Cricetulus griseus: one gene and its partner. The protein of the gene in region 1 binds, or shares a complex with, the protein of each later gene. Links are inferred from orthologs where the notes say so. Each region holds a gene or a part of one and is shown in the gene's direction. Other genes may lie near its edges.

Region 1 (5,680 bases):
AGGAACCGCACCTTTTATGCCCAGTGGTGACTGCTTGAACTTCACTGAGGAAAAGGATGAAGTTCTGTTTGCTGGTTTTGGTCAAAAAAGTCATGCTCCAGAGTCCACTCTAAGATTGTTAAAGTAGTCATCGTGTCCCTTTTGACCCTGTACAAAGGCAAGAAGGAAAGAACAAGATCATAAATTTTGACAGTGCAAACACAGTTATAAATTTTCATATTCTGGGGTTGGGGAGAAAAAATTATGTTGAGTCAGGCAGTAGTGGTGCACACCTTTATTCTCAGTACTTGGGAGGCAGGGGCAGAGGCAGGTGGATGTCTGTGAGTTCAAGGCCAGCCTGGTCTACAGAACAAGTTCCAGGACAGCAAGTGCTGTTACACGGAGAAATCCTGTTTGGAAAAACCAAGAGAGAGAGAGAGAGAGAGAGAGAGAGAGAGAGAGAGAGAGAGAGAGAGAAATTAAGGCATAGTGGTGCACACCTTTAATTCTAGCACTTGGGAGGCAGGCCCCAGGTCTTATGGCTTCTGGAGGACAGTGATTATAAGATTTTGAGGCCCAGTGTTTGAGGACTCTGGGAGCATGAGTGTGAGGTTGCTGGGAAGGTAGGAGAGACGTGAGGCTGCCGGCGCTGGTGGAGGTTGAGTCAGGAGGCCCTGGCTAATTCACCCTTCCTCTTCCAGAAACCAAAGCCTGCATCTGTGGATGCTAACACCAAGCTGACGAGGTCTCTGCCTTGCCAGGTCTATGTGAACCATGGAGAAAACCTGTAGGTATTTGTCAGGGGTGGGGTAGGTTTAGCCTGGCCCCTCCTGATTCTCCTCTCTCTGTCCCACAGGAAAACAGAGCAGTGGCCCCAGAAACTGATCATGCAGCTCATCCCTCAGCAGCTGCTGGTGAGTCCTGCCAGGCAGGAGCTGCCTGGCCCTTGTCCCCCGTTCCCACATAATCTCCCCTACCTTGTGTTGCCCCGAATGATGCCTGCGTTTTCCCAGACTACCCTACCTTGTGTTGCCCCGAATGATGCCTGCGTTTTCCCAGACTACCCTACCTTGTGTTGCCCCGAATGATGCCTGCGTTTTCCCAGACTACCCTACCTTGTGTTGCCCCGAATGATGCCTGCGTTTTCCCAGACTACCCTACCTTGTGTTGCCCCGAATGATGCCTGCGTTTTCCCAGACTACCCTGGGCCCTCTGTTCCGGAACTCAAGAATGGTCCAGTTTCACTTCACCAACAAGGACCTGGAGTCCCTCAAAGGCCTCTACCGCATCATGGGCAATGGCTTCGTGAGTGGCGGGCACTGACTTCCTTCCCCATCTCTGCCCACAGTCCTGCATCTAGGAGTCGCTGTCTTTCCTTGGGTGTCGTTTGTGGTGCTGCAGTTAGGGCCACATGTCCTAGCATCTGCTGTGTCCCTGTCCCGTGGGCCTGCATTTGTTGATGGTTTGAGATAAGTCTTGCTGTGTAGTAAGACCTCCACCTGGGTGTCCTCCTGCCTCGGGCTCCTGAGGGCTGTTTTGCAGCTATGTGCGGTGCAGTCCAGCCTGGCTTCTCTGGCCCTGTTCTTTCCTGTATCTCCACTTTGTTGCATAGGGCCTGCCCTCATGCCTCATATAACCTTCAGGTCAGCTCACCTTCCTGGGGGCTAGTGGGTTGGAACTTGTGTTTAGGGAAGACCCAAGTGCCTGTGTGTGCATGGGATTAGCGACAGTGACTTCTATGCCCAGAGTTTTCCCCAGGCAGAGATTGTTGATCATCATCCTCTCAGCCCTCTTTACCTCCGCTGACACTGTTGCCTGCTGTACCTCTCTCGTGTCTGTGGGTCTGCTGGGGCTGTTGTCAGGAAGGTCAGCTGGGCCAAGAACCCTCTGTGGTGTGGCTCATCTGCTGTCCTCCTCAGTGAAAACACTGAATTCTGAGGGAATGTTCCAACAAATGGCCTGTTTTTGCTGCAGGCCAGGATACAGAAGGAGAGCTCAGTGACCTCAATGCCTAGGCCTCTCACAGGCTCAAGATGGTTACCTTAGCTTTTGAGTCCCTTTAAACATTTGGAAGAGGCAATGACTTCAGGAAGCGAGAAATGTTCACAACTTCTGACCAGGCCTCCTTTTATCTGGGCCTGGCTGGGTTCCTAGGCTGCACCCCTGTAGGGGAGGACACTCCAGTATCTGGCCTGGGTGGCACTGCCTGTTCTGTGCTGGACTGGGTTAAGGAGAGGGGTGTGTTGATGCACTAGCTGCAAGTCCTGAGAAGTAAACCCAGGTAGCCAAAGCCAGTTAGTTCCCTGAGAGCCCATGGAGACTCTGAATCCCAAAATGGCATCCTTGTGATGTTGCCATTCTCTGGTCCATGCTGGAGGCCCTGGCAGAGATAGAGCCACCTTCAAGGGTCTGACCCTGACTTCCTGCCACCCTCCCCAGTGGAGCCCTGTCCAGTGTGATTTGATGAGATAACCCAGTGCTATATAGTGGGAGACATGAGGTAGAGCCACTCAGTCAGGGTCACCATGGGCTTCTGGTGTGACCTGCTGTCTCCTCGGTGGTCAGCAGGGACTTTGGTCTTGCTGTGCCCTTTGAGTGCCTGTCACTCACAATTTTTTGTTTCCAGGGCAGCTGCTGCGCCAACCTGGCCTCCCTGGCCTTGTACAGTGAGACCTCCCTACCTCTTGCCTATAAGGCTTGTAGAATTTTATAGGCTGAGGTAGGCTAGCCCATGCCTCTCGGGTAGGCTGCTTCTGAAGAGTCTCTGTCCACAGGCGGGCTGCGTGCACTTCCCGCATACAGCCCCATGCGAGGTGCGTGTGCTCATGCTCCTGTACTCATCTAAGAAAAAGATCTTCATGGGCCTCATCCCCTACGACCAGAGTGGCTTTGTCAATGGCATCCGCCAGGTCATCACCAACCACAAGCAGGTCCAGCAGCAGAAGCTGGAGCAGCAGCGAGGGGTGAGTGGTAGTGGCAAGCCAGTGTCCTCTCATAGCTCCCCAGAGCCCAGTCAGCCATAAGCCGCCTGTCTGAGTCCAATGTGCCCCTTGTGTCCTAGCAGAGCAGCTTTAGTCCCTTCTCAGTTTCCACGGCAGTCCCTGATACAGGCCTTCCTTATTGGTCAGGCAGGGTGTGATGCACCTACTAGATGGTATGTCCCCAAAGAAAGGCACCTTCCTCCTACACACCAGGTCCTCCAACAGGTTCAGACAGCCTTCCCTCACCACTGATCTGTCCTCTCTGTCCCCGTGCAGATGGGGGCACAGCAGGCACTTCCAGGCCTGGGCCCCATTCTGGAGGACCAAGCGAGGCCCCCGCAGAACCTAGTGAGGACTTGGGTGGGGACTGGTGGGATTGGGGATGGAGGTTGGGTGGAGCTAGGGCAGTTCCCTACTGCTTGTCCTTGCTCACGCTGTCTGTTCTCCAGCTCCAGCTCCGTGCACCACAGCCCCAGCCTCAGGGTGCTGTGGGGGCCTCTGTGGCTACAGGGCAGCCCCAGCCACAAGGTACTACCCAGGCCCCCACAGGAGCACCCCAGGGTCCTCCAGGAACAGCCCCCGGCCCACCACCTTCTGGACCTATCCTTCGGCCCCAGAACCCTGGGGCCAACCCCCAGTTGCGGAGCCTCCTCCTTAACCCACCACCGGTGAGGCATGGGAATAGAGCAACAGGGAATTGCAGGTTCTTACCCAGTATCTCTGGGAGGAAGGGGTGGGCTGTACCAGCAGGGCCTTTCTGGAGCACAGACTGGGCCCTCTGAGCCATTCTTTGTCTTCCCCAGCCCCAGACTGGGGTACCCCCACCCCAGGCCTCCCTCCACCACCTGCAGCCTCCAGGGGCCCCTGCACTGCTGCCTCCACCACATCAGAGCCTGGGGCAGCCCCAGCTGGGGCCACAACTCCTCCACCCTCCACCTGCCCAGTCTTGGCCCACACAGCTTCCCCAGCGGGCTCCACTGCCAGGTAAGGGTGTTCTAGGGGAGGGTAGAGGTCTAGACTGGGAGTCCTTGCAGCCACTGGCAAGGACCCCATTACCAAAGGGCCTCCCCATAGCTCTAGGGGGCTTAGAGGGCCATTGGGAAGTTTAGCCATGGGAACAATGCCTCAGTGAGTGAGAGCTTTCCATAATCCTTATATGCTGCCCTGGGATGCTGGAAGATACCTTAGGGTCAGTGATGCTGTCGGGGGAAGGGCTCCCAAAGGGTCAAAGGAAAATGTCTGCATCTAATTGGGCTTAGAAGGATCCCTGGCTCTGGTGGTCCCTGGAGCTTCCTAGAAACCTGACTGCCTTGGGTTCCCAGAAGAGGGGATGAGAGGTCCAGGGTCCTCAATGGTCCCAGGGACCACTGGGAGATGCAGTCCCTTCCCACTGCCCCCCAGGTCAGATGCTGCTGAGCGGGGGTCCCCGGGGCCCGGTCCCCCAGCCGGGCCTGCAGCCCAGCGTCATGGAGGACGACATCCTCATGGACCTCATCTGAACCCAACACCCAATAAAGTTCCTTTTAACGATTCCCGGCTCCCGTCACTGACGCCCCTAGGGCTGTCTTTGCTCTCGCCTTGCAGACTCCCCAAGGCCCCGGCTGGGTGATGCTGGGCCACGGGGGGAGTTGGAGGCAGCATGGTGAGGCCTGGTTCTGGGAGACTCAGAGGCAGGTGGGCAGATAGTGTACAGCTCATGTGCACTCAAGGGGTTACAGAGCCCAGAATGCCTCTGACCCAGCCAGGGTTCCGAGGAGCCTGGAAGGAGAAGCAGCAGTTGGGAGCCAGGAGGTACTAAGGTGCAGATAGCCAAAGCCACAGTAAAGGGACAGGCAAGGTCAGGAGGTGGATGCTCCTGGAGCATGAGCATTACAGGGAGGAGCCAGACTGGAATGCTTGAGACTTGTCCTGGGGACGCAGGACCACAGAGATCTCCAGTGGGGCTGATGTCAGAAAGGCTGGTTTGTAGGAGCAGGGCAGGCCAGAGGCAAGGTCAAAGGACTGTTCCGGTGACACATGCCACACCAGGCAGTCAGGATGTCCCCATGGGACAGTGTGCTGTGCTTGAAGCAGTAGCAATTTAGGTTCTAGTTGGAGGTGTGGGGAAGTGAGGAAGCCCCTGTCTTGCAGGGTGTTCTCAGGTTTGTCTGTAGGTGGTCTCCTTGGAGATGTTGTGAGATATTTGTCACACAGGCATATTAACTGTGAGTGTGGTCTGTGCCTGGACCACCACTGCCTGGGTCTGGGACGCTAGTTAATGTGCAGGTCACTCACTATCCCAGAAGAGAGGCTTCAGTCTAGTGGCCCGTGGGCCACCACAGATGAGTTTTGTTTGGCCTTCCCTGTGTTAGCATGTGTCACTTTTTTCCTTCCAGTTAGCTATAAAACTTAAGTGAAATTCACACACACGCACAATTGCTCCTCAACATGTCGGAAACACTGACACCCTGGGTCTACCCTTCTGCCTGGCAGTAGTAGCTGGGTTTGCCCCATCAGTGGGGCTCATGCTCTTGGGTTCGCCACAGTCCCCACCACTCTCTCTTGCTCTTCCACGGTGAGGCCAAAGCCCTGCCTCCGTCACGGGGCTGGCACCGTGGTGGTTCTGTGGTAGCATTCAGAGAAAAGTGAAATCTTTCTTGTACCCATGTCTCCTTCAAAAGTGGCCAAACGAAAGAAAGAAGGAGAGGGCCGCGTGTTTCGAGAAAAATGGGAGCGAGACT
Region 2 (6,314 bases), about 63 Mb from region 1:
AGAGCATGTACAATTTTGTTTTAAATCAATGAGCCTTGAAAATAATGAAATGGAAGGCTGGCGAGATAACCAAGTGGTTAAGAGCACTGGCTGCTCTTCCAAAGGACCAGGTTCAGTTCCCAGCACCCGCATTACAGCTGGCAACTGTCTAACTCCATTTCCAGGAGATGCCAATGCACATAAAATAAAATTTTAAAAATAATGAAATGCAAAACTATTATCTCATTACCTAGATAAAAGGAAACAATGGCAGAGAGGACAGCTAGTATTAGAGTTCTAGTTGCTCATGTTGAGTAGTTCTTTCTAGGTAATACTTGGTATCATAAAGAATAAACATGTTGGTCACAAGGTAATCATAACCACAAAATCTGTTTGCCTATGGTGACTAGTCTTCCTGTTTAAAAAAAAAGAATGCAAAGCATGGTGGCACTTACCTGTAACACCAGCACTCAGGAGGCTAAGGCAGGAAGTTGCCACAAGTTTGAGGTGAGCTAGAACTACCTAGCAAGATACTGTCTCAATATGTAAATACACTGCCAACAGAGGGCCCCTGACAAGACCCTCATGTCACTGCATCAAATTTGACTTTTAGAGTATCTGTAACTAAACTTCAAGGTTCCATTATCCTGATCCAGGCAGAAATGTTTCTGAGACATTTTATATAAAGTGGAATAATACATGAATCAGTGTCATGTAAGTTATTCTAGCTAGTCTGGTTTTGTTTTGTTTTCAGTTTTTATATGCCCTACTTTGCTTCATTCCATTTCCATTCCTCTAGCCCATAGTATAGTATTTTGTGTTTATTATGTATTACTGAGTTGAGGGTGTTTGAGACAGGAACTTACTATATATAGCCCAAGCTGGCCTTAAATGCAACTGTCTTGCATCAGCCTTCTTGAGTGCTGGCATTGCAGGCTTACAGGTATGCACCACCATACCTGGCTATCATATTATTACAGGGTTAGTGTCTGTTACCTAAAATGCTTATCTAAAATGTTTCAAATTTGCAGTTTTTCAGAATATATGCATAATTTTACTAGGTTAAAAATCCCAAATTCAGAAATGTGAAGTCTGGAATGCTTCAGAATTTTGACACTTTTTGAATCCTATAATTGTTGAGTAAGGATAGCACCCATAGGCTCATTTATTTGAATGTTTATTGTCACCAGAGAGTGAAACTCCTTGAATAGATTAGAAGGATTAGGAGGTGTGGCCTTATTGGAGGAAGTGTGTGCTTTGAGGTTTCAAAAGCCCATGCCAGGTCTAGGCTCTCTCTTTCTGCCTGTGGATTATTAGTAGGTAACTGTCAACTCCTTCAGCACCATGCTGCCATCGTGCTACCCACTATGATGATAATGAATTAAGCCTCTGAAACTATAAGCAAGCCCCCAATTAAGTGCTTTCTCACAATTATAAGAGTTGCTGTGGTAATGTCTCTTCACAGCACTAGAACAGTGACTAAGACAATAGTTTGTGTTTTTTGATAGATTCCTCATTAATATTAAACTATAGTCTTTCGTGGGGCTGGAGAGTTAGGAGATAACTCAATAGTTAGGAGTATAGGCTACCCTTGACCCAGGTTCAGTTCCTAGGGCAGCTCACAACTATCCCCAGTTCTAGGGGATTCAGCTCCCTCTTCTGATGTCTGCAGGCACCAGACACACACATGGTACACATGTATATATGTAGGCAAATAAACATACAGATAAAACCAAAACATTGTTTTTTCCTTCAATTCCTTCTGGGTTGGTGACAAAAAAATTATCATCTGCTTTTAGTATAACTTTATTATTGCTGTTTTCTAGGCAGCACAGAGCTGACGGGCAGCACCAATTTAATCACACACTACAACCTGGAACAAGCCTATAATAAGTTCTGTGGGAAGAAAGTGAAGGAGAAGCTAAGTAACTTCCTGCCTGACCTGCCAGGGATGATTGATCTCCCTGGCTCCCATGACAACAGCAGCCTCCGCTCCCTCATTGAGAAGCCTCCTATTCTCAGTAGCTCTTTTAATCCAATCACAGGGACCATGCTGTCTGGTTTCCGCCTCCATACTGGCCCGGTAAGTCCCTTCTTGGGGAGGAAGAAAACAAGTGGGGAGGCCTCAAAAGCATGGAGGTAGTTTTATCTCCAAGTCTAGAAGCAGGGAGTTGCTCTCTCTGCTCACCTGAACCTTCCTTTGGTACCCTCAGTTGCCAGAGCAGTGTCGACTGATGCATATTCAGCCTCCCAAGAAGAAGAATAAGCACAAGCATAAACAGAGCAGGACCCAGGATCCAGTTCCCCCAGGTAAGCACTTTTGTTCAGACCACCAAGACTCTGGCCCAAGTCTACATGGCCTTCAGTTAAGCTTAGTTCCTCTGGACTCCCAGATTTCTCCAAGAAGAAATACATGTGTTGACATTTCTTGGACAAGCAGTGACTTAGCACAGCTGCTCTGCCAGCACCTCTATATCCTTTCTGAACACGCAGAAAAAAAGCAGTTCCCCTGGTATTAGGTTTTCCTGTAGCCTTAAGAGTTCATAGCAGTAGATCTTTTTTTTTTTTTTTTTTTTTTAAACATATATTTATCATGTATACAGGGCATGCCAGAAGAGGGCACCAGATCCCATTACAGATGGTTGTGAGCCATCTGGAATTGAACTCAAGACCTCTGGGAGAAGTCAGTGCTCTTAACCCCTGAGCCATCTCTGCAGCCCATAGCAGTAGATCTTAAACTCAAATCAAACTTAAGGTTATAAGCTCTTAATGTCTCCTACAGAAACGCCATCTGATTCAGATCACAAAAAGAAGAAAAAGAAAAAAGAAGAGGATCCTGAACGGAAAAGGAAGAAGAAAGAGAAGAAAAAGAAGAAGGTAGAGGGTTGTTGTAGTAACTGGTTTTTTGTTTTAATTTATGTATATGTGTTTCTCTACACTAGTGCAATGCCCACAGAGACCAGAAAAGAGCTTCGGCCATGGAGCTGTATCACTACCACTCTATGTAGTGCTGGGAACTGTACTGGGGTTTTCTACAAGACAGTACTTGCTCATAACCAGAGCCATCTCTCCAGCCCCCATCTCACCCTTCTTAAATAGAATCCTTTGCCTCAAGTTGGACCCAAGAGCAGGGCAAATCCAGGGCAAACATTTTTCTTTTACAATCCTGGCCAAAGCTAGTTCTTTGACTTTGACTCTTTTCCTTTGAGGTAGTGTCTTAACATTGAGCCATATCTAGTCTCCTTTTAAAAATTTTTTATTTTGCTTATTTTTGGTTTTGCGAGGCAGGGTGTCTCTGTGTAGTTTTGGTTCCTGTCCTGGAACTTGCTCTTGTAAACCAGACTGGTCTCGAACTCATAGAGTGCTGGGATTAAAGGAATGCGCCACCACCTGGCTTATTTTGCTTGTTTATTGATAATTTTTGAGACAGTTTCACTGAGTTGCCCAGGTAGGCCTTGAATGTGCAGTCCTCCTAACTCTACCTCCAAAGCAACTGAGGTTACAAATCTATGTTAGCAGGCTCCATAGGTTTACTTAGGTTTTTTTTGTTGTTTTGAGACAATGGCTTGAGATGTAGCTTTGGCTGGCCTGGAATTCACTATATAGACTAGGCTGGCTTCTACCCCAGAAGATCTGCTTGCCTCTGCCTCTCTGTAGAGGGCTGGGATCAAAGGCATGTACCATATCCAGCAAGGTCATTTTTTAATTTCTAAATGTTCTTATTCCTTTTGTCTCCTCTAGAACCGACATAGTCCAGACCACCCAGGTATGGGAAGTTCCCAGGCCAGCAGCAGCAGCAGCCTCCGCTAACAGGACTACTGAACTCTGCCAAGGATGGCTTTCCTGCTGACAAAACTGTCTTCCAGGCATTGCCTTGGGATATCTAACAACTAGACAGAAGCCAGCCCCTGCTGTACTTGTGACTAATACACTTTTAGAGAAGGGCCATGCTTTTTTATGGTTTAGTCCAGTTGGCTTTTTCATAGACATACCTTTTCACAAAAAGCTGTTTTTGTTTTTTTGTCCCCCCACTTTTGTGTAATTTGATTTCAGGAGTTCATTTGTTAGGGTTTTTCTTTTTTTTTTAAAAAAAAAAAAGGTGTCTTTAACAGACTGGCTAGTATGGCTACCTTTTTAAGAGGCAAGTGTCATTCTGTATGAGGCAGTTTAAGATAAGGCACTGCTAAGACATAAAAGATTTTAGATTTTGTCATCACATTATTTCCCTAGGCCAAGAAATTCAAAATTAGAGCAGAGAACATGGTCAAAAATCAGCAGTTTGCTATAATATTTTGCCTATAATGTTCACTGCCAAGTGCCTGGATTATATTCAACCCATCAGGAAAGTTAGCCAAAGTAAGGTTTATGCCTGTGTTGATATATAACAGGGACTATTAAAAAAAAACCTCCCACCATTACCACTGTATTTTAGCAGGAGGAAAAAAAGCCTGGCCAGGCGTTGGTGGTGGCACACGCCTTTAATCCCAGCACTCGAGAGGCAGAGGCAGGAGGATCTCTGAGTTCAAAGCCAGCCTAGTCTACAGAGTGAGCTCCAGGATAGGCTCCAGCTAGCCAAGCTTATCTTTTCCCTTGTCTTTTTTTCCTGTGTGCTTTTTAAATGAATCTCTGGCAAGAAGTATAATGCTTCTCTTATTCTTTAGTTTAAGAAAAAATGGATTTAGTTGTTTGGGAAAAACAAAGTTTTTGGTTTGTTTTCTGGAACAGCATCTTACCATGTAACCCTGTCAGGCAGACTATTCGGGAACACAAGCTCAAGAGACCCACCTGCCTCTACCTCCCAAGTTCTGGGATCAAAGGCTGGCTTTTGATTTACTTTTGCTGGGCGGTGGTGGCACACACCTTTGATCCCAGCACTCAGGAGGCAGAGGCAGGCGGATCTCTCTGAGTTCGAGACCAGCCTGGTCTAAGAGCTAGTTCCAGGGCAGCCTCCAAAGCCACAGAGGAGCCCTGTCTCAAAAAACCCAAATAATAATAATAATAATTTACTTTAATGTGCATTAGTGTTTTGCCTGCATGTATGTCTGTGTGAGGGTGTCAGATCTTGGAGTTACAGATAGTTGAGAACTGCCATGTGGGTACTAGGAATTGAACCTGGGTCCTCTGGAATAGCAGTCAGTGCTTTTAACTGCTAAGCCATCTCTCCAGCCTCTACTTTCTAAAGAGGAAATAACACCAGTTCTCTAATATTTCAAAGACAGAAGTTTTTGTTATGAAAAGTTAGGTTTCTCTCACCTAGTAGGACATTTAATTTGACAGCCAGAAAAAAAGTAGACCAGAGAATGAGGCTTTCCTCTTGACTTCCCACAAGACCATTCACCTTGCCTTAACCAGATAAAACACAAGTCAGGGGGAGCTGGTTAGATCAGGATTTATTTTATTCTTTGTTGGTTTAAAATGGCTAATCAGAATAAAAAAATTAAAGGGTCTCTGTATAGAGGCTGGGGTCTTCCCTGTTTAAAGGTTAGAATCCAGCTACCCCCTCTACCCAGCACCATATTGAGGTGGGCTAAGGGGTAAACCCCAGGGGACAATTGGAGGGGCCTAGGTCTGCCACTCCTTCTCTCTATCCCATTTTTGGCATATGATGAAAAATATTGCTTTTTGGATTCTTCTCTTCTGGCCTTGGATTTTTAAGATCATTTTAACTGTAAGTAATAGGGAAGCATTGAAGAGGTCCACTAAGCCCACCACAATCCCTATCACCCAAAAATGGGGGGAGGGAGGTTGCCTGATGTTTTGTAAAGTAGATCAAGTTCTTTTCCTGATCTCCCACCACCATCATGAAACTGTGACCCCTTTCCTGGGAAAAGGATGTCAATGAGCCTAGAAAACTCTGCAAGTTCCTTTATCTGACCAAGAACCCCAGACTTACCCAGGTTTCTTTCCTAATCACTTAGCACCAGCAGAGGGTGCTATTTCCTTAGTTGATAACTGGGACAAAAGAGAGGGAACCATGGGGAAAAGGAAGACTTTAATGTCTCTTTTTCCTGCTGGTCTAAGGAAAGGGAAGAATAAAATCCCCCTCCTTATATATATATCTATATATCCCTCCCTTGTTTTCCCATCCCAGGATAGATATATAATTTCTTTGATATTTATAATATATATATATGTACACACACACCTGGTAACGGAGAAGAGGAAAAAAATAGAATCCGTAACAATAATAAAAAAAATTATTTCTGGTTTAAAAATGATCTGGTTCCCTCCAGGGTGAGCAATTGCACAAATGTCCACTGAGTCTGGTCCAGGGATCAAAGAAGGGAAGGTCTTATAAATCAAAGGGGGGGATTGCCACCCCTGACTCAGGGCCC

The links. Proteins that work in one complex are often made in the same cells at the same time.
Region 2: Med25 (region 1) and Med19 share a complex: the UniProt entries of both Homo sapiens proteins name them as parts of the mediator complex. The link is inferred for Cricetulus griseus from reciprocal best matches to the Homo sapiens genes MED25 and MED19.

The regions. Positions count from the first base shown.
Region 1 is NC_048599.1:153,714,712-153,720,391, reverse strand, and holds part of Med25 (mediator of RNA polymerase II transcription subunit 25), read left to right. Parts: exon of another isoform or gene 1-325; intron 326-680; coding exon 681-766; intron 767-835; coding exon 836-893; intron 894-1,176; coding exon 1,177-1,284; intron 1,285-2,753; coding exon 2,754-2,942; intron 2,943-3,236; coding exon 3,237-3,308; intron 3,309-3,409; coding exon 3,410-3,628; intron 3,629-3,763; coding exon 3,764-3,944; intron 3,945-4,361; coding exon of another isoform or gene 4,362-4,459; exon of another isoform or gene 4,460-4,491; intron 4,492-5,620; coding exon 5,621-5,680. UniProt on the Homo sapiens protein: Component of the Mediator complex, a coactivator involved in the regulated transcription of nearly all RNA polymerase II-dependent genes.
Region 2 is NC_048599.1:90,843,725-90,850,038, reverse strand, and holds the end of Med19 (mediator of RNA polymerase II transcription subunit 19), read left to right. Parts: intron 1-1,805; coding exon 1,806-2,062; intron 2,063-2,192; coding exon 2,193-2,289; intron 2,290-2,761; coding exon 2,762-2,856; intron 2,857-3,720; coding exon 3,721-3,789; 3' UTR 3,790-4,618; downstream 4,619-6,314. UniProt on the Homo sapiens protein: Component of the Mediator complex, a coactivator involved in the regulated transcription of nearly all RNA polymerase II-dependent genes.